Rattus norvegicus: one gene and its partners. The protein of the gene in region 1 purifies or fractionates together with the protein of each later gene. This does not show direct contact. Links are inferred from orthologs where the notes say so. Each region holds a gene or a part of one and is shown in the gene's direction. Other genes may lie near its edges.

Region 1 (4,758 bases):
CCAGCTAGTTGGAGCCTCTCCCTGACCCACAAAAAGGGTTGCAGGAAGAACGGCTTCTTTTAGGTGAGATATGCAATGAGCCATTCCTGCCACCTACGACATCTTTATGTCAGGAAGGTCAGAGGGAATAAGTGGCCCTCCCACTGTGATCAAGGACATAGTATTTTGACTCAAATACTTACTCTCCTTCTGTCCTTGTGGAGCCGGTGTTTTTACTCTTTAGGCCATTTCACTATCCTGCTTCTGCTTTCTCCTAGGGCCAGCCAGCCAGTCCATCCCCAGTCAGGGGGTCTTTCGGACACTTTAAGAGTGACTTGTTTGGGTAGTAAGTGTGTTTATGGCAGGGACATGGACGGGGTGGCAACCCTATGTTCACAGTCAGCTTCTTAATGAACTTAAACACCACATCACTTATTAACATCATGCATTTTATACCCAAACAATAAATTGCTTGGCATACGAGCATTAGGAAGTGAGTTAAGATAACTACCTAGGACATATATGAAAAAGCCAGGCGTAGCAGCATATGACTGTAATCCCAGCACTGGGGAGGCAAAACTGAGGCTTGCTAGCCAGCTAGTCTAAATCAGTGAGCTTCAGGTTGTGGGCACATGGAAACTGCCTGTTAGCAAAGGACAGAGGACTGAGGCTCTGCTGTAGACATAGGAAAACCATCCAGGGAAGAAAGCTTCACATGCTGGAGGGTGGAAGACGGGCAGAGCTGGAAAGTAAGATCAGAAAAGGCTCTGAGAAAGGAAAATGCTGATTGAAGATACTTTTCTCTTTTCTTCTTCTTTCCTTCCTTCCTTCCTTCCTTTCCGTCTTCTTTCCTTCTTTTCTCCTCTTCCTCCTCCGAGACATTTATCCTAGCTGGCCTTGAACTCCCTATGTAGCTGAAGATGACCTTGAATTTCTGGTCTTTCTATGCTCATCTTCTGAGTACTAGGATTAAAGGCATTTGCCACCATGTTCTGTTTATGAAGTGCGGGGGATCGAATCCACACCCTCTTTTTTTTTTGGAGCTGGGGACCGAACCCAGGGCCTTGCGCTTCCTAGGTAAGCGCTCTACCACTGAGCTAAATCCCCAGCCCGAATCCACACCCTCTTACAAGGCACCTTGCTCATTGAGCTACACGCACCCCCGCCCCTATTCCCAAGACATCTTATTTAAGGGGAGATAAAGAAAACTGTATCTCTCCTCTAGGTCATCTGCTGAAAAGAAGAACAATCCGAGATGAACGATTGAAGGTTCAGAAAGATGTGGTATGAACACCCAGAACAGCTAAACCAAAATTTCAAACGTGCTACTTAAAGCTGTAAAATAACGAATGGTCCACCAGGTGGCAGTGTCTACGGAGGCTCCTGTATCCCATCAGCCTTGGCGCTCGGGGTGGAAGAAGGCGTGGAGGTGACTCTCTGGCACTCAGGGCCTCTACTTGCCTGTCCCGACTGACGTTGGGCAACAAAGATGGCGGCGGGAACCAGCAATTACTGGGAAGGTGAGGGCGAGGCCTCTGAGTGGGTCCCGCCGGGTGCAGAGGGGACTTAGTGAGGCTGGATCTTGAGGGGAGCAGCAGAGGGAAAAGCCAGGCCTCAGGAACGGCCATACTTCTGGATGAGTTTGTCCGAGAGGAACCCTGGGCCTGGGAACTTGGGGAAGGAGCTGGGGCGGAGTGAACCGGACCTGGGAAGGGGTTGGGTCTCAGAGTGGAGGGAGCCAGGATGGAGAGGAAGAGGCTCCTGAGGCTCCAGATGGAAGTGTCTGAAGGGTGGTGAGGTTCTCAGGATGGGGCTGCGGGGACGAGCTCTTGGGAGAATGTTGAGCGACAAGATCCAGAGCCCGGAAGATGAGTAGTCAGAACCTTGCAGTTGAGGTCACTGTCAGAAAACTAAGAGTGAGGTGGAACTTGTCTGTGCCGGCCTTGCGGGGAGTTTGAGTGGACTGTCGCCTCCTGGACCCCAACTGGCAATTTGAGATTGAGACTTTATTAACGACTGGATGACAGAATACTGAAAATAAATACCTTCTGCCCTGGACTCCAAGATCGGTTTTGTTAAAAGTGATAGTAAAAGGGTTCTAATGAATACATTTGCCATTCTTCTCCCGCCAAGAAAACATTCAGTTGTGTTCTTTAATTCCTGAAAATCTGGCCCACTCAAGTGAGGCCACACAAAACTTTCCTAGACCACAGTGATCCAAGAAGATCAAAAATGGCACCCTTTTTTCATTTAACTGTTTGCTTCCTTATTTATTTATTTATTTAGTTAGTTAGTTAGTTAGTTAGTTAGTTTTTAAACCTTTTCCTCTTTTTGTCCCATGAAGCCCCTGGAAAATATGGTATTGTCACCATCAGCCAGTAGGTCTAAGGGACTGAATTTTATGTTATGTCATATTTTCAAAATGCTTTGTGTTTGTTTTCCATTAGACTGAATAAATAAATAGAATTACAGAGAAACATGTATTTAAAATGCCCATTGGAAATATGGTTGTAGCTAAAATTTCTTTTTAAACGATGTAGAAGTGGCTGCTGGCACCTCTGATGGTCATTAGGCTATGGGTTTTTGAAACATTATGCCGTTACTAATTAGAGCAGACTGACAATATACCTTGTACCAGATGCTTTAAGCATGCATAGAAAAACTGAAGCCCTGAGGTTTTTAAGTTAACTGAATTGTCTATAAATCTCAAAGACAGTAGGTGGCTGAGCTGTCATTGACAGTGGGATTTGGTCTCTGGGTAGGTGTATTCCACCATATAATTCTGCTTCCTGCCTTTGATTGCAAAATGTAATGAAACAGTGTCTTGATATTCTTTAGTCCTGAGACATTCTTACATTATTCCTACCTGTATTTTACTCCTTTCATTTGAACTCCACCATGAACACACACACACACACACACACACACACACACACACACACACACACACACACACGGGTTTCCAAGTATGGCTTCTTTCATTTAGCCCTTTAGAAACCAGGCTGCTACACCAGTTTATCTGATCGCTTCTACTTTTAAAACATACGTTTTTTAAAAAAAAAAAAAACCAAAAACTGTCACAGTTGTATTCTGTCTTGTTCATAGTGTATTGTTTGTTTTTACTGGACCCCTCAATGTTTTTGAAAAAGCGATTTTTATTTATTTGTTAATTTGGTTTTTCCTTGTGTTTAATTGCTAAGATGTCTTGCCTGTATGGAAAAAAAAAGTTCCAAATTCCTAACACTTTTGAAACATAAAAAGAAAAATGTGTCAAAAAGAATGCTGGCTTCTTACAGTTAGCAGGTAAACCGATGTGAGGATAATAAACTATCTTCATTTCCTCGTGATTTATATTCGCTCCTTGTTGCCCTTCAAGTTATAACAGATGGTTATTACCGTAATTCTCAGGGATGTTGTGGCACTGGCTGTCAAGCTGTCTTTGAAAGAAAAGTGACAGGTTGTGTGTCTCCCACAATGGCTTCCCTCATTGCTCCCTCTGAAGGTTACTTAGCCAGTTTACTTTCTTAGATACGCCTTTGGTTTCTGAGTAACTAGATCAGAGATCATTATGTGATCATTTTCATAGTTGGCTTTCTTAAAATAGTCATGAATTTAATGTCTACTGATGGACTACTGATTTACTTTTGTCATTTTCTTAAAGATCTTAGGAAACAAGCTCGACAGCTGGAAAATGAACTTGACCTGAAACTAGTTTCCTTCAGTAAACTGTGTACGAGTTACAGTCACAGCAGCGCCCGGGATGGAGGCCGCGATAGGTATAGGTACTGCCAGATTCGTATGCCTTAAACTCGGTGATGCTTTTATAAGGAAACTGACATGTAGACCTCTGTGACTGGGTCTGCTGCTGAACTGTGGACGTTTCGATTTCCTTGTCATTATCTTTGTGTCTCTGTCTGTATGTGTGTGTCTTACTGAAATTCTTCCTAATTCATGAGGCCAGCATTTATCTGAGATCTTAGACAAACGGTGATAGCTCAGGAGAAACATCTAGAGTGTATCAATAGTTTGGAAGCCAGGCCTGTACACCTTTGCCAGCACTAGGAGGATAAGACAGGGGACACATGATGTAAATTCATTCTGGGCTCCATGGCAAAGCCAAAGAAATTTCATTCTCGGTCCTCAGAAATGTCTGGTTTGCCCACATGGTTTTTGTTTTCTCTTGTTTTGTTTTTGTATTTCAAGATAGAGTTTGTCCCTGTAGCCCTGGCTGTCCTGGAACTCTCCCTGTAGACCAGGCTGGCCTTGAACTCAGAGATCCCCTGCTTCTGCCTCCAGGGCTGCTGCACCACCACCCTCTGGCTGATGGCTTTTTTTTCTAATTTCTGAGTGGAACTGAGGAGCTGCCCAATGCTCTGTGTCCGGGACCTGTAGTCTCCAGCTCTGGAAAGTGAAGACGGACAGTCTATGCTCAGTGTTCATTTTGATTGCTGGATCGGAAGCATATCAGTGAATAAGGTCATCAGTGAACAGGACTTTTCTTCTAGGCAACTCGGGACTTTGAGAGCCAAGGACTCTCATACCTACTAAGTCAAGTAAATTCAGCTGAATCCTAATGTAGAGAATGAGGGGTTTGGGTGGGTTTTTTTTTAAAATTAATTTATTTGTTTTATATACATACATTGTCATTGTTTTCAGATACACTCGAAGAATTTCCATTACAGATGGTTGTGGGCCACCACGTGGTTGCTGGGATTGAATTCAGGACCTCTGGAAGAGCAGTCAGTGCTCATAACCAACCCTGACAATGAGTTTTTTTAA
Region 2 (4,968 bases), on another chromosome or scaffold:
CAGCGTCCTCCTAGCCAAAGACGGAAAGGGGCTCCCGTGAGAATAAGACCCTATTCTTATGACCCAAGGCCACATGGTGATCACTAGGCCCTGTCCACAGCACACTTGGTCACCTGAAGCATTATGGAGAATACCCGTCCCCAGCCCCATGCACAACACAGCTCAGAAACCTTGAGTTCCTGCCTAGATTGTCCTCTAGTCCTTGCCATATCCGACACCCTGCAACTTGAGGCACACAGGGAAGCAAACCCACAAAATGCCCCAGCTGAGCTGAGTCCCACCCATTGACTTCAGACTACAACCTACCTCATCAACCTCCCTCTTAACAGAGTCGTAGGTGATGTTAAAGAGCACTTTGAGGATTTCCATGGCCCGCTCTGTCTCTTGGGCTGGAAGTATCACCAGAGGGTTTTCTTTGGGGGCCACACCCAATGTCAGTTCCAGCGCATCGGTCAGCAGGCGCACGCCATGCAGCTCCTGAAACAGCTGCTGGCGCACATCAGTGCGAAGGGCTGTTAGCAGGAAAAGGAGCCTTAAGTCAAAGAACTGGACTTCGTGGGGATAGCTCCTTTTGCGGTACAGTCCCACACGTTCCGCTAGCCTCACCACCAGTCGAGCCTCTGCTGCTAGCATCTGTGCTGTAGGACTGCTGAGCACAAGATTACACAGGCATTTGAGAGACTCGAGGAGGACATCCATGTCTGGGGGCTGTGGGATGGGCTCCTCTGAGATGGCAATGTCGGCATAGCAGGCTAGTGCGTGTAAACTCTGGCGGCTAGCAAATGAGTCCAGGCAGCTGCGGTCTCGGGATAGGATTCGGATAGTCTGCAGCCAGGTGACACGGTGTTTTGGTGACAAGCCCTGCTCCAGTACGGAGACCAGCAGCTTTGCGAGTCTCTGTGGGAAGGGACAAAAATGGTTCCACTAGGCCCTCTTCTTGGGGCAGCCCGTGCTTGCCCTAGGAACCCCCTTGGGCTGACACCTACCTTCCTGTCCTCCTGCTGTGCATCATCGAAGGTGAAGCTCTGGGAATGCTGCAGGGAGACCCAGGAAGCTCAGTTCCACACGCAGGTAGGACCTGTGCTCCTCGAGAAGCAGCAGGTCTGCTTCTACCTCTGAAGCAGCAGCCATCGCTGTGTACGTAAAGCAAGGCCCACCCTCGCCACCCATACACCTGACTACCACAGAGGCACCGCCGTGGCCCAGCCCACCACCCACCGCCCTGCTCCCTGCCACACTCGCACGCACACCCCAGCCGAGTGGCGAGCAACCGGCTGCTTCCTCACTTCCTGCAATTTCCTCGGCAGCTGGATGCCTCTCACCTCTCGGTTAAACGACCGCAGAGCTTCTGTCACCGCATCTTCCTCTCCCGTCTCCAAGGCATCCGCAACTGCCCGGGGCTCCATGGCCCCTGGCACGGGGTGCTAGAAGACTTGGGCTGGGAAGACGCAATCGGCCAAACCCGGGGACTCCGCCCAGGTCCGGAAGCCCAGCGTCCACGCGTGAGGAATGCTGGGAGAACAGCCGAGCCTAGGGTGTGTACAGGCGCGGGGCTGGCCTCCGGCTTAAGGTGGAGCAACCCGGCTGTGGCCGCTGAGCGGCTTGTCTTGGAGCAGCGATGCTAGCTAACTAAGCAGTATCCTCCTTTTGAGCCCTTCTCTCTAGCCCGACTTCCTGGCGGGCGGGGGTGGGGAGTGGGGTGTGGCTTGGCCGGCGCGTAAACCTTTCTCCTTACACTCTTGTTCCCGTACTGTGATAAAAGAGGGAGCGCCGGCTCCTGGCCGCTTAGTCAGTTGGGGAAGACGATTCTCGCGGTCATCTTCCTGATGCTCATCTTCCACGGGAAATAAGGAAAGAGAAGTACGACTTGGATGGTCAAAATAATGTACGTGGTTAGCCGGGCATAGTAACGCACGCTTTTTTAAATTTCAGCACTCGAGAGGCAGAAACGGGCAGACCTATCTAAAAACAATCAAAAAACCAAACCACCAAAATAATGTGGTTATCAAAAGAAAAGGGCAATTGCAGAGTGTATGAGGAAGGATCGGAGAGAAGGAAGTGAAGAACACCGGTGGAAAAGCGACTCCCGCGGGAGGAGCAACGGAGGGGCGGCTAGCCGCGGCGTGTCTGGGGTTAGAAGCGTAGGAACGTTGTATAGTGGGGAGCCAGGTCTGCATGCCACTTAGCTTAAGGCAGAGTCGGTGCACCCCACGGTGACACAAGCAATGTTCCAGAGGATAATGCCGCCCGCTGTGCTAACCGGCGCTTGCCTCTACTCAGTGTCAGGTCCTTTGCCAGTCTCTTTCGCTTCTGCTCGTCCTCCCCATCCTGTCGTTCTCACTTGGGGACTTTGCAGCGCCCGAGGTACCCGACCCTCGGCTCCAGGTTGGGGTCTGAGCTCCTGCTCCGGGTAATACCCACAGCGCGGGACTAATACTGCTGACCAATCCGTAGGCCCGAATGCTGGCGGCCCGCCCTTCCCTTATTTACATTCCAGTGTAGAACTACAAGTCTGTTTCTTCCGCTTCAGACTCTTCTCCCGGAAGTTATTAGACCTGAGGCGGAACCGGAAGACCCAGGTAGTGGTGCCACGTCCGTCGCTGTGTTGCCTACTCCCCGAGTGGGACCTCGGAAGGCGCGATGGCAGATTGGACTCGAGGTGAGCGCACCTGAAGGTAGTTGGGATAGGAGGCAAGGTCTAAGTCTGGAGTACGAGCCATCAATTTTTCCTCGGTGGAGGGATCTGCGTGGGATGGCGCTTACGTATTCCAGGAAAAACAGGGCCAGATTTCAACTGGCACTGCCTTGGAACCCAAGCCGGCATGACATCAGTTTGTGTGTATGGTTGATGCCAAGGGCTGGAAGCAGAAGGTCCAAGCAGGGACTTACAGGGCTCAAGTGCCTCGTTTCACACACACCCTCCGCCCCCGTGCCTGTGTTCAGTCTGACAGTTGTGATACTGAGGCTTCTACTATACTAACTATGTAGTGGTTGGTAGGACACAGCCGTCTGTCTTTTAGAGTCTGGTCGCCCCTGTTTGCTGGTGCTGCTGGCTTTCCCCTTAGGTGGGTCATATCGAGGCTGGATTTTTATGCTTCAGACCAGTGCCAGTCACACTTAGGCAGGTGATTCTCAACTACATACCGTGACAGAAATTCTTCATGTCTAGTCTCTGTCCGTCGGAGTAAGGTTTCCACAGGAGAGTGCTCTGGGGCTTCTAGAGATCCTGTGTGGGTTGTAGCAGTAGGGATTGGTAGTTTCTACAGTAAAAGGCCTTTCTTACACTTACCTTGGACTTGATTCCTAAGTCATCCCCACACAGCCTTCCTGTCACCTGCTTTGTTGTTCTGTTCTGTTTTCCCTATAATCCCTACCAGATTGAGACCTGTCCCATACTCTCAGATGGTGATTTCAGCTAAGGCAATATTCATTTTGGTCCAGGAACAGTATACAACAGGGTAGTGTAGATTGACCTGCTGGTTCCCTGTCTCTGCCTGGGCATTGCACACAAGTACTCCCATGACCCATGCTTCCTGTCTGGTGTGTAGGTGGTCTACCTGTTGGAACATAGGGTGGAACATGCTAAGTGAGCAGAAGGATATGGGTGGAATGCCCTTAGAGGTCTCACCAGGCCAGGCTCCACTGGAGCAAGGAGCCAAGGACCACATTTATGAGTGAATTCTACCCTTCAGCCTCTTTGTCTTGCAGCTCAGAGTTCTGGTGCTGTGGAGGAGATTCTAGACAGAGAGAACAAGCGGATGGCTGACAGCCTGGCCTCTAAGGTCACCAGGCTTAAATCGGTTAGTGGTGGCCCTTTTCCCTTCCATGAGACACTTTGGTGAGTGGGGCTGAGTGGGTAGAAAGGAAGCCATGCTGTCCGTGGGTGTGCTGACTGAGGAATGCTTCAGGTAATACCTTGGCCTTTTTAGCTTTTTCTAGTAATAGGTACCTAGCAGAATCTGAAGGGAAGATGGGCACTGCACTCTGTGTCCTTGCTTGACTGTGCCTTCTGTATCCCAACCAGCTGGCTTTGGACATCGACAGGGACACGGAAGACCAGAACCGATACCTAGATGGCATGGTAAGTGCCTGTATTACGTACAAATCATAGTCAGCTCTACCCCCATGCCGCCTGCTCTTCTGCCTCTAACCCTTCAGCGCTAGTACAGTTGGGCCGTCACAGATCCCAGCTCTATGTGATCCCGTTGGGTCTCTCCCGCAGGACTCAGATTTCACAAGTGTGACTGGCCTACTCACAGGGAGTGTGAAGCGCTTTTCCACGGTGGCACGGTCTGGGCGAGACAACCGGAAGCTTCTGTGTGGTATGGCTGTGGTCTTAATTGTGGCCTTCTTCATCCTCTCCTACCTCTTGTCGAGGACAAGGACGTGAGCCAGTGGGAGCCAAGGGCAGCCAGACTCTTGTCCACCTGGTATCCTGGCTTCCTAAGGACCTGACTACAGAAACAATATTCCTTTGAAATTATCATCACGGGTCATTCGTCTTCCTAAGTCAGGACGACTGCGGCTGCCTCTGTCGTAACGAGCTCCTCTTGGCTTGTCCTGTGTATGAAGGAAGAAGAAAAAGGCAAAACCCAGTGCTACTCCCTGGTGCTAAAGACACTGGCAGAGTCAGAGCCATGTTGTATGAGAATGAGCCAGTTCTATTGAGAGCATCTGAGAGTGCTGAATGCGCCTACCGTGGCCAGTGGCCACACTCCTCAAGGGCCTTCTGTTGTGCTCTAACCTGTTTATGTCTGGTTTAAACCATGTCCGTGTTCTTGAAGAGTCTGAAGCTGACACCAGAAGGGAATGTGGCCGTGAGCCCTCTCCAAATGATGGTCGTCGGGATGGGGTTGACAGTGACACCAGGCTGAGACTGCTGGTCAGGAATGGACCTGTGCAGTCTGGCTCAATTCAGACCCCAGGGAAGAGGCAAACTGTGGATAGAGGAGCAGACTGCAGTCCAGA
Region 3 (4,884 bases), on another chromosome or scaffold:
TGAACATTTTTTCCCAATGTGTGTAGTGGGTAAATGAGGAAATGCACTTTTCTTGGTGGGCATTCCCAGTGACATGAGCATTGCTTTGCAGTGAGCATTCCACTGCTCTACCCTGAAGGACCCAACTCCATGAGTGGAAGCAGCTGGCCTTATGGGTTGAGGGTATATAGTCATCTATTGCTGCACAGCTCATTGTTCCAAAAAGATGAGACCATGCAGCAAATGGAAGGGGAACCATAACTGCTTGTGGCCCTCCAGACTCACCAGCTCCGGGGTCAGAGCACAGTCGGGAGCACAGGTATATTTGGGAAAGTGCTCAATGGGAAGGAGGTGGGGGTGGGGAGATGTCTTTTGCCTTTTCCTGACCCCCAACACTCAACTCACATAACACTTTCCTCAAATGTTCTCTGCTAATCAGTAAACTTCAGTAAAGAAGAAATACAGATTCTTGCACCACAGCACACTGTTGGGACTGAAATCGCTGTGCACAGGGCCTTAGAATAACGAGATTTACAGAAAACTAGCATAGTACCAAAAGTTCTCACATAGCCAGTTTCTCTTATAGTAAGATGTTGCTCTTACTATAGTGTAGTGTATTTACTACAGCTACTGAACCACTATCAATAACTGCCCATGCTTTATTTAGACTTTTTTTTCACTAATTTTTAACAATGTTTAATGTGTAGGCCAGGGGTTGATGTCGGGAGTCTTCTTCAGTTGTTCTGCATCTTATTTTTTGAAACCAGGTCTCTTTCTGACCCTGGAGCTCATTGATTCTGCCAGACTTGCTGGCCAGCAAGCTCCAGGCATATGCCTGTCTCCCACTCACCCATTCCTGTTACAGCTACACGCTGACACACCCAGCTTTTTACATGGGTCTGGGTATCCAGTGCCATTCTGTGTGTGGCACTGCAAAATATTCTAAACGCGTTGTGTGCGTAGGTTAGAGAACAGTTTGGAGGAGTCAGTTCTCAGCCTCCACCATGTGGGTCCCTGGAATCGAACTATAGTTGTTAAACTTGCCTTTAGCAGCTGAGCCATCCAGCTAGAAATGGAGAACTTCTGGACTCCGCAAGCCAATTCTAGAGACGATCGCCAGAGGGAGTTAGAAGGTTCTTTTTTACTACAAAGCTGTTACTCCCAAGTGACTAAGACGTAAAGTGAACCAGGAGGTGGAACTAAACTGCTGGGTCTGTCAAACCTCGAGAACGAACCTTGAGGCGTCACGTGAGCGCCGAGAAACTGGTCAGCTGATCAGTGCTTCCCAGTTCCGCCGAGGCGTGGCGGAACAGATCTATGGAGCCTGCTGATTGGTTGGAAGGAGTCAAAGGTCGCGTTTTGTGGGGGGTGGGGGAGAAATTGGCACTTGGCGGTGCGAGCTTATGATTGGCTTACTTGGTGTCACGTGGCAGTGCGCTCTAGGGTTCTAGGAGGCTAGCAGCGTCAGACCTCGGGCGTGTGCTCACGTGTTGCGGGTCAAGGTGCGGAGTGCGGTAGCCGGAGGGGCGTGCCGGGACGAGAGTGCTTCGCAGCTTGAACCCTCTGGTTGGCTCTCACGGTTCACGTGGGATAGCAGACCCGGGTGACGTCAACGTAGCGGGCGGAGCTCCGCTGAGTGCGCGTTGTCCCGGGCCTGTGAGTCGTAGCTTGGCTGTGTCGGGCCTGAACCGAGCAGCTGCGCGACGTCATGGACACCTCCGGGAAGCAGGCTGAGGCTATGGCGCTGCTGGCTGAAGCGGAGCGCAAGGTGAAGAACTCGCAGTCCTTCTTCTCCGGCCTCTTTGGGTGAGCAGCGGGCGAGGTTGGGCCCAAGGCGGGGAAGAGCGGGCTCTTCTGCTCTCTGCACTTTGGGAGCCCCTCTGCGGCCTTGCAGGTTCTGAGGGTGGCCCTGTGGCTGACGGCCCTGTGGCTGAATGGTAGCCGCGCCTTTCCCAGGCCGGTAACCGTGGATCTGTGCGGCCCAGGCTGCCGGGGTGAGGACACCAGACCGAGGGCACCCGGGCTGGGGCGACCCTGGGCATGATGAGCCGGAGTACGAGGTGTGAGGGTAGTGGCTTCCTGCTGAGAGTGACTGATGGCAAGTAACTAAGGAGACCTGGACTGAGAGGTGGAAACTTGGGGGTTGGGGGGGGCAGCCATAAACAGACAGTGACACTGGTTTGGTCAAGGAAATGGCTATGGGAGGATGAGGCAACCAGGAGAATCAGAGTAGGGTAGAGGTCCTCAAGTCTGGGGTCTGAACACACCCAGGAGGTGGCAGGTACCTCACACAAAGTTTATGCAAGTTCGACATCTTCAGCCATATTAACTTGGGAGCAGAAGAACCCATGCTTGGGATGTAGTTCCGAGGTTTCTTTATTTTAGGGGAGTACGTTTCCCTGAAAGGGCTCATTGGTAAAAACTAACTGACTGCAGAAGTTTGTTGTGAGTATGAACTATGTATAATGTGCTCAGAATTGAGCCCTCTGAAAGGCTTACCAGCCAGGAAGAAGCAGAGTCAGAGAGTGTAAGATGCTGGTGGGGAGACCAAGATGGTAGGACAGGAGAGCTTGAGGAGCTCTGAGGAGAGGGCCAGCTGTTTACCACTTCCCACCACTGATAGAGCAGAGCCTTGGGGTGTAGGAAGGGTAAGGGGAGACGACACTGCATGGGAGCAGGCAAGACTCCTGAGGGAACAAGCAGAGAGGAGCACTGGGGAAAGGTCCAAGCAGGTGTCGAGGAAGAGCTGTGCTCAGGGTAGGACACAAAATCAAGCCTCCGAAACAAGGATTGAAGAAGACAGAAGACTCCTAGGAAGTTGGGGGAAGGCTGGGAGAAAAGCCCTGGGTTCTGGGAGAGACTGTTAGGAGCTGGGTGAGGACAGAAAGACATGAAGTGGGGGAGAGGATGAGGCTACCCTTTTGTTGTTTGACATTAGATAATGTTTATCAAAGGAACTTGAAAAATGTTTGTACCTGCTGCTGAGACATCTGGCTAGTGACAGGCTGTGTCAGTTAGATGAAAATGTTTCATTTGAGAGAGAGAGAGAGAGAGAGAGAGAGAGAGAGAGAGAGAGAGAGAGTGTGTGTGTGTGTGTGTGTGTGTGTGTGTGTGTATAGAGGCATGGTAGTGGGATGGCACCTCCAACTCAGTTTTCATCAGTAGTTTTCCTGATGGCTCAGAGTCTGGTCTCTTTGGCCCAGAGAGATAAGTGTATACTTGGCTGCTCCAAGGGAGCAGCTGTGTGTCCCTGTTTACCACTTCCCAACCACTGATAGAGCAGAACTGTGGGGTGTAAAGGCCAGTTTATCACACACACAAAGTTCTCGAGCTGAAAAGAAACTTTGAGAACTTGAGGGAGGTTTTTGGTGAGGAGTGAGGCTGAGAACAGTGGTCTGGGAGGGCAGTCTAGGCTGCAGGGATGGTGGGAATGAAGCTCGCTCTGGTGCAAAAGAGCTTCTGCCCAGAATGTAGAGGACAGGGACAGAGATGGCTTCCTAGAGGATGAGCCTCCATCCCAGGGCTGAGCAGGAGATCTCAGGTCTCTCAGTTGGAGAGCAGCAGAAAGGACAAGCTTGAGAAAGGGCCCAGAAGCCTGCCTGCTGAAGGAAGGGTTAGCATAGGCAGAATTCCAAGTCAGACTGTGACTTGAAAAGGGGGGAGCAGAGGCTGGACATAGATGAGGACTGTGAGTATGGGCTTGGAGTTGAGGTACTGGGGAGCCTGCAGGATTTTAGTGAGGGCCTGTTAAAATGACTTCCTCTTTTACCCTTTAGAAAAAAAACAAAACCCACAACAGCTGGTTGTGGGACAGTATGTGGGACCCTGTTACAGTGATAGTGGATCATGCCTGCCAGTTGTTCACGCTACTGCCCAGCCTTGCCTGGCCAGGCAGTCAGCCTTATGTAGTCCCCACAAGATCACTGTGGAGGTGGGTAAAAGATAAAGGGAGCAGTCTAAACTTGATTCATTTGTCTAGCAGCACAGGAAGCTGAGGAGGCACCAGGTGGTCAGACCTGGCCCATGTAGGCTTATAGTCCCCCCTCCATTAGTCTGATACCTCTGACACCCAGAGAGTCCCAGACACTCAGGCCTGCTTGTGGGCACTACATGTAGGGAGGGTGTTGGCAGACTAGTTTGGGGTGCTACCTCCCTTAGGCTGCTGCCTGCCCCCACAGTAGTTTTCTACAAACATTTGAAGGAGCAGGTGCATTTCTTCTGGTCCTTCCAGGAAGAATAGAGGAGGTAGGGAAGTGAGCAAGGCCCACTGGAACTCAGGGTCCTTGGAGGTACCCTGAGATAACCTGGAGAGAAACCACCACCAGGTGGGCCCTGCTCTGGCCCACCACTGGGGCTGCCTGGTAAACATTTGACAAGCAGCCTTTCCCCAGCTGCTCACCAAGGCTTCTTCTGCTCTATGGAATGTCTGTGTTAAGGGCTTGCCAAGTTAAGAGGCCTCTGCTCAGGTTACACGGGTCAAGTAGGCTATTCTCACCCATCTTCACACTTCTGGATTTGTGGGCTGGTAGACACTAGGGGGCTTTAAGGCACCATTTAGTTTAAGGTCAAAGCCTTTTTAGCCCTTCCCTTGCTGGTGGGCATACCTGCCTGAGAGTTTGGATACCCGTTACCTCCTCTTGTTCCTCTGCTGTGCACCATAGGGACTGAATTGGTCCTGAAGGGCAGTTCTGTTCTGTAGGGCTCTAACCGATCCCTAACTTTGCCCTACCACCTTCCCTTCAAAAACAAAAGACCAGCATTTGGGAACGAAAGGCTGGCACATCTCTGTAAATTTGACGTCAGTTTGGTATATACATAGCGTGCCAGTTGTGGGCTTGGAGTTGAGGTACTGGGGAATTGGGGAGTTCCTTGACAAGACAAGGCCAGGGTGACGCCTCTTCCCAG
Region 4 (5,088 bases), on another chromosome or scaffold:
GAGTCAAAGCACTTGTACTAATCATGGCGGTTGTCTGGGGAAGCCCTGAACATTGAATGAAGGGACCTTCATGTTACTGAAGTTGAGACACTGAATTGAGGCAGCATTGGTGATCTTAAAACCTACTTCCCCAAACGTGCTTGGCTTCTAGTAGTGAGAACAGATAAGATTAGATGTAAGCCCTTCCAAGGAGAATGGTGCCTCGATTTCAACTAGGGTCTCCCCAGAGACAGCATCTGGAAGAGGCTTTTCTAACAGCAGGAGAGGACAGGATCGATGTCACCACAGAAAGCTTCCAACTTAGCCGCCTCTTTTTCTCCTGAGCTCCTCAAATGATTAGTAAGGCTTCCGTGGGATTTGTGGGGCTGGTTCATATTGTAGCTTATACCATGTGACCAGTTGTCAGACCCAAGATCTCTCGCCCCCCGCAGCTAACTGCAGGTGTTTGGGGTGTGATGTGGGTAGCTTGCCTCCACCTGAGTGTCCCTGATCTCTCTGATGAAAGAATATACCTTTTCATCAATTACCTGACACTTCAATTTTTCATCCTTGAAAAGGCAAAGTTTGGGGCTGGAGAGATGGTTGAACAGTCAAGAACACTGGCTGCTCTTCCAAAGGACACAGGCTCAATTCCCAGCAACCACACAGCAGCTCACAGCTGTCTGTAACCCCAATTCCAGGGCTTCTGACACCCTCACATAGGCAAAACACCGCTGAGCATAAAAATAATTAAAATAAAAGGAAAGGAGCAGTTTATGGTGTCTATCTGGAGTTTCACCAAAAACATGGCTTATGGCAACTCCGTGGCCCAATCCTCTGGCGAATGTAAGTCTCTGGTCTGTCTTGAAATACTGGGAGAAGAATGCAAAATCATATTCATGCCTCGGGGATCAGGAATGAATTTTTTTCTTAGAACTTTTCCCATAACCTTTTGAATCAGAAAGTCTCTTCTTCCCTTTTACACATCCAGAGTCGGAGTCGGGAGTCAAGCAGTTAGTTATCTGTCACAGGAGGAGGGGCTTTGATGTAGTAGGAGAGGCTGGGGAAGGCAGCCCAGTTTTCGTCGGTGTGGTGCACATTTTAAGTTGGTGGGCTGTCAGCCAAATGCGATCTAACTGGCAATATATCTCATGACTGAATTCCGCAGGAAGGGAATGTTTTTTATTTGTTGGTTTTGTGTGTGTGTGTGTGTGTGTGTGTGTGTGTGTGTTTCGAGACAGGGTTTCTCTGTGTCACCTTAGCTGTCCTGGAACTCACAGAATGGCCTGTATACCAGAATGGCCTCAAAGTTAGGAAATGATATTGACAATGTTCCAGAATCCCTTGAAGTGGGTAAGCACGGAGTACACCGTGTTGGCGGTTGGTTTCGGTAGTAACTTCATTCTTGTTAGAAATGTAGGTGTTGAACAGTTTTCACCATCGAATTCTGTCGGGTACAACAGAATTGTACTGGTCCAATCCCATGCTCGTGCATTCACCTCTGTTTTGCCATGGGTTGAAAAAGCGAGAATTTGCAGGGTGGCTGAGCAGCAGTGCTGCGCCGAGCAGCAGGATGCGGACGAGCATGTTGGTGGCAGGCAGGTTGTTGAGCGCGGGGCACGCCGTCTGTAGGAGACTGGGGTAAGAAGTCAGGTCCTGAGTTGGCTGCATAGCTAGAGGTGTCCAGTCTTGCGAGAACGCTTACTCCCAGCAGTTTGAAAACTCTCAAGACACTACCTACCGTCAGTTCCAGCAGCACACGCGCACTGCGGGATGGGGCGGGGCGTGCGCATGCGCACCGCAATGGGCGGGGTCAGTGTGTACGCAGTCACGGCCCCTTCCCCGCCCTCTCTCTTCCCGGTTTTCCTCTCAGCTACTGGGCCCGGTCAGTGGCAGCTTCCGGTAGGAGCGCCGTGAAGCGCGACCCCGGTCTCTGCTCCGTGTCATGTCCTACGGTCCCTTAGACATGTATCGGAATCCCGGGCCGTCGGGGCCTCAGCCCCGTGACTTCAACAGCATCATCCAGACATGCAGTGGCAACATCCAGCGGATCAGCCAAGCCAGTGAGCGAGGGGACCCAGCCGGGAGCGGGGGTGCGGCCTCAGGGACAGGCCTGGGTGAAGCTGCTAAGACGCGGAGCCGGATCGGGGCCTCAGCTACGGCCAAACCTGAGGCAGCCGCGAGCCTCCACTCCCGGCGCGGCGAGCTGCCTTCTCCCGGGTCGGTCAGGCTCGGGCCCTTTAGGTCCACACCCCTGTCTTCGGGGTTGTGAGTTGACGGTGCTGGGGGTCAACAGAGCCGACAGCCAGAGGGTGGGAGAGAGTGTGTGTCATCTCTAGGACTGTGAGCACAGGGTTGACATGGCGCAGTGGTCAGCCGAGTTTTTCCAGTCGTCCCCGTCTCCCCACCCACCTTGTTTTCCTCAGTTCGGATCAGGGGGGTGCTTACTGGTTGCGACTTTAGGTTCACATTCTGCTCGGCGGTTGGGTCCTCGGACATCAGCAACTTTCAATTAAGGGAAGTGGAGAATGCGTGCATTTTGGGTGATTTAACACACTGTGCTTCCTGGTAATTAATCTGGAAATCAGTCAATGACTGGTATTTAAGGGGGGAGGGACTCCTGTTTTATGGCGGAGAATGCACCGGGAACATTTTAGTTTAGGTTGTCTTTTGTAGCAAAGACGTTTTTAAAATTTCAAAACATGAAGATTTCATTTTCTGCCTGGTACAAAGTCAGTTTGTAACTGCTTACCTTAAAACTCCCTTCTCACCATTAAAGTGTAAAGTGGTTTTTTGAGCCTCAGAATCGGCCCAGAGCCTTGTAAACAGAACAACAGAAGCAATTTTACTTTTAAAATAGTGACAACCATCTATGGGGTTTATCATTGTGTTTTTTTGTGAGCTTAGCTATACTCTGTTAATAGGTAGAGTCAGTTCTAAATTACAATTATGTCCTAAACTTTAAAACATAAGCTATCACTTTGCTTTTACTTTAATTTTTGAAACAGTTTTTCGATAGCTCTGACTGCCCTGCAACTCATCCTGTAGACCAGGCTGGCTTCAAAATGAGAGATCCACCTGCCTCCCAAGTGCTGGAATTAATAATGTGCACCACCACACCCAGCTTGTTACTTTGCTTTTAAATCTAAATGTATACTGTAGAATTTGAGAGGTAGATGATTTCAGGTGGGAAGGGTTAGATTTGGAGGTAGGAAGGATAGTCAGCTTGTCAACCCAGATATTAAAAACACAATAATACTATTGATGACTAGACAGACAGTATGGTACTTTGTGTCCCAGTTTCCTTTTATTTTGGAGCTGTAATACAGGTTAAATCAGAAATTTCTTATTCAAGGGGCTGGCAAGATGGCTTAGGTAAAGTGCTTGCTGCGAAGGCCTAACAACCTGATTTGAGCCCCAGAACCCAGATAACGTGGAAGGAGCAAATTGACTCCACAGAACTGTCCTCTGACCTCCACACTCATCCATACTCGTTCCCTGGCACATAGAGTGTGTGTTTATATTAATTTGTGTGTATATTCCACATATCATAATACAATAATAATAAAAAAATTTTAAAGAGAATTTTGTGCAAGGTGTTGGTGGGGCAGACCTTTCATTCCAGCACTTGAGAGGTAGAGGCAGGCAGATCTCTGAGTGTCAGAGGCTAGCCTGTTGGTAGCGTTCCAGGACAGCCAGGGCTATACAGAGGAACCTTGTTTTGAACCACCAGAAAGAAGAAAAAAAAAGGGGGTGTGAGGGAGAAAGAAAGAAAAATTGTGTTTTCTCAAGACTGGAGTTTTCTCATTGACACTAACCTAGTTTGAATGTCTATCTGTGGGTATTTCATATCTGAGCATTAAGTTGTATAGTAAGCTTAGGAACTGATACAGATTCTTTTAATCACAAGTCTGTGTTCACTTAAATCAAAATTTAGAGTTGAAACTGGGCATAGTTGGCACACAATAGCATTTGAGAGGCCGAAGCAGGAGGATTATCATTACTTAGAGGCAAATCTAGACTGACTAGTGTGTTCAAGGCCATCCTGGGCCACATCTGAGTCTCTTTTCAAAAGGAAAAAGGGATAAGAGGAAGGAGGAACAGAGAAGGGGTTTAAAACCAAAGCCTAGGTGTGATGAGTCAGGTCTGTAACCCTGGCTCTCAGGAGACCAAGGCAAGACAGTTTCCATGGGTTCAAAGCCAGCCTGAGCTATAGAGTGAGTCTTAAAGCAAAACAACGAAGAAAGGTGATGGTGGGGAATAGGAGTGGTTTTCTTGGTGATAGATACTGATTTAGTGCTGATTAGGCATTGGATCCTTAGAGTCAATAATTAATAATGTTACTAGCTGCTGTTTAAGTACATAGTGTGCTAGGCCATATGCAAAGTGCTTTACATGTAATATCCTAACCGGTAACAGCCCTGTAGAGTAATTACAAATATTCCTAGGTTATGAGGTAGGAAACAGGCTGAGAAAAGTTAAAGAATTGCCTAGCTGGGGCTGGAGAGATGGCTCAGTGGTTAAGAGCACTGACTGCTCTTCCAGAGGTCCTGAGTTCAATTCCCAGCAATCACATGGTGGCTCACAACCATCTGTAATGGGATCCGATGCCCTCTTCTGAAGACAGTGTACTCACATAAAATAAAATCTTTAAAAAAGAAAAAAAAGAAAGAATTGCCTAGCTGAATGTGTGTTTTTCATTTCTTTTTGTTTTTTCTTTGTAATATACTCATCTTCTCTGCTAGATTGTTAGCTGTTTGAGGTAGGAAACATGGTTCATTCATCTTTGTTTTTCTGCTGTTTACCTCTGTCCCAAGCATATGATGGGTTCTTTCACTCAGGGTGCAGCGACCATTCTTTGAGCACTGATGTTCACTGGTAAGGAGCAGAGAACGAACTTCTGCATGACATCGTGTGGATGTTTGCATGCATTTACCAATAATATCAAGTCATAGCAGGTGGTGCGAAGGAAATGGAGCAGGCTAAGTGCATGGAGGGAAGGGAGAATTACCATCCCCTGGTGAGGACAGCCTCTCTCAGGAGATGATTTATTTTTTCTAAGACAGGGTTCTCTGTGTAGCCCTGGCTGTCCTGGAACTTGCTCTGTAG

What was found. The genes of interacting proteins can lie anywhere in the genome.
Region 2: the proteins of Gosr1 (region 1) and Bet1l purify together in Homo sapiens (affinity purification with western blotting; 3 studies listed by BioGRID and IntAct, with this or other methods). This does not show direct contact. The link is inferred for Rattus norvegicus from reciprocal best matches to the Homo sapiens genes GOSR1 and BET1L.
Region 3: the proteins of Gosr1 (region 1) and Napa purify together in Homo sapiens (affinity purification with mass spectrometry; 3 studies listed by BioGRID and IntAct, with this or other methods). This does not show direct contact. The link is inferred for Rattus norvegicus from reciprocal best matches to the Homo sapiens genes GOSR1 and NAPA.
Region 4: the proteins of Gosr1 (region 1) and Stx12 purify together in Homo sapiens (affinity purification with mass spectrometry; 3 studies listed by BioGRID and IntAct, counting the BioPlex papers as one, with this or other methods). This does not show direct contact. The link is inferred for Rattus norvegicus from reciprocal best matches to the Homo sapiens genes GOSR1 and STX12.

Annotation. Positions count from the first base shown.
Region 1 is NC_086028.1:62,102,025-62,106,782, reverse strand, and holds the start of Gosr1 (Golgi SNAP receptor complex member 1), read left to right. Parts: upstream 1-1,467; 5' UTR 1,468-1,468; coding exon 1,469-1,499; intron 1,500-3,640; coding exon 3,641-3,761; intron 3,762-4,758. UniProt on the Homo sapiens protein: Involved in transport from the ER to the Golgi apparatus as well as in intra-Golgi transport. It belongs to a super-family of proteins called t-SNAREs or soluble NSF (N-ethylmaleimide-sensitive factor) attachment protein receptor.
Region 2 is NC_086019.1:205,361,465-205,366,432, reverse strand, and holds the start of Bet1l (BET1-like protein), read left to right. Parts: upstream 1-1,726; 5' UTR 1,727-1,885; intron 1,886-2,530; 5' UTR 2,531-2,640; coding exon 2,641-2,659; intron 2,660-3,708; coding exon 3,709-3,800; intron 3,801-4,024; coding exon 4,025-4,081; intron 4,082-4,222; coding exon 4,223-4,390; 3' UTR 4,391-4,968. Other genes in the region: Ric8a (synembryn-A), read right to left, coding at 1-10, 307-897, 987-1,034, 1,323-1,406. UniProt on the Homo sapiens protein: Vesicle SNARE required for targeting and fusion of retrograde transport vesicles with the Golgi complex. Required for the integrity of the Golgi complex.
Region 3 is NC_086019.1:85,913,793-85,918,676, forward strand, and holds the start of Napa (alpha-soluble NSF attachment protein), read left to right. Parts: upstream 1-1,642; 5' UTR 1,643-1,687; coding exon 1,688-1,785; intron 1,786-4,884. UniProt on the Homo sapiens protein: Required for vesicular transport between the endoplasmic reticulum and the Golgi apparatus. Together with GNA12 promotes CDH5 localization to plasma membrane.
Region 4 is NC_086023.1:150,373,105-150,378,192, reverse strand, and holds the start of Stx12 (syntaxin-12), read left to right. Parts: upstream 1-1,846; 5' UTR 1,847-1,924; coding exon 1,925-2,042; intron 2,043-5,088. UniProt on the Homo sapiens protein: SNARE promoting fusion of transport vesicles with target membranes. Together with SNARE STX6, promotes movement of vesicles from endosomes to the cell membrane, and may therefore function in the endocytic recycling pathway.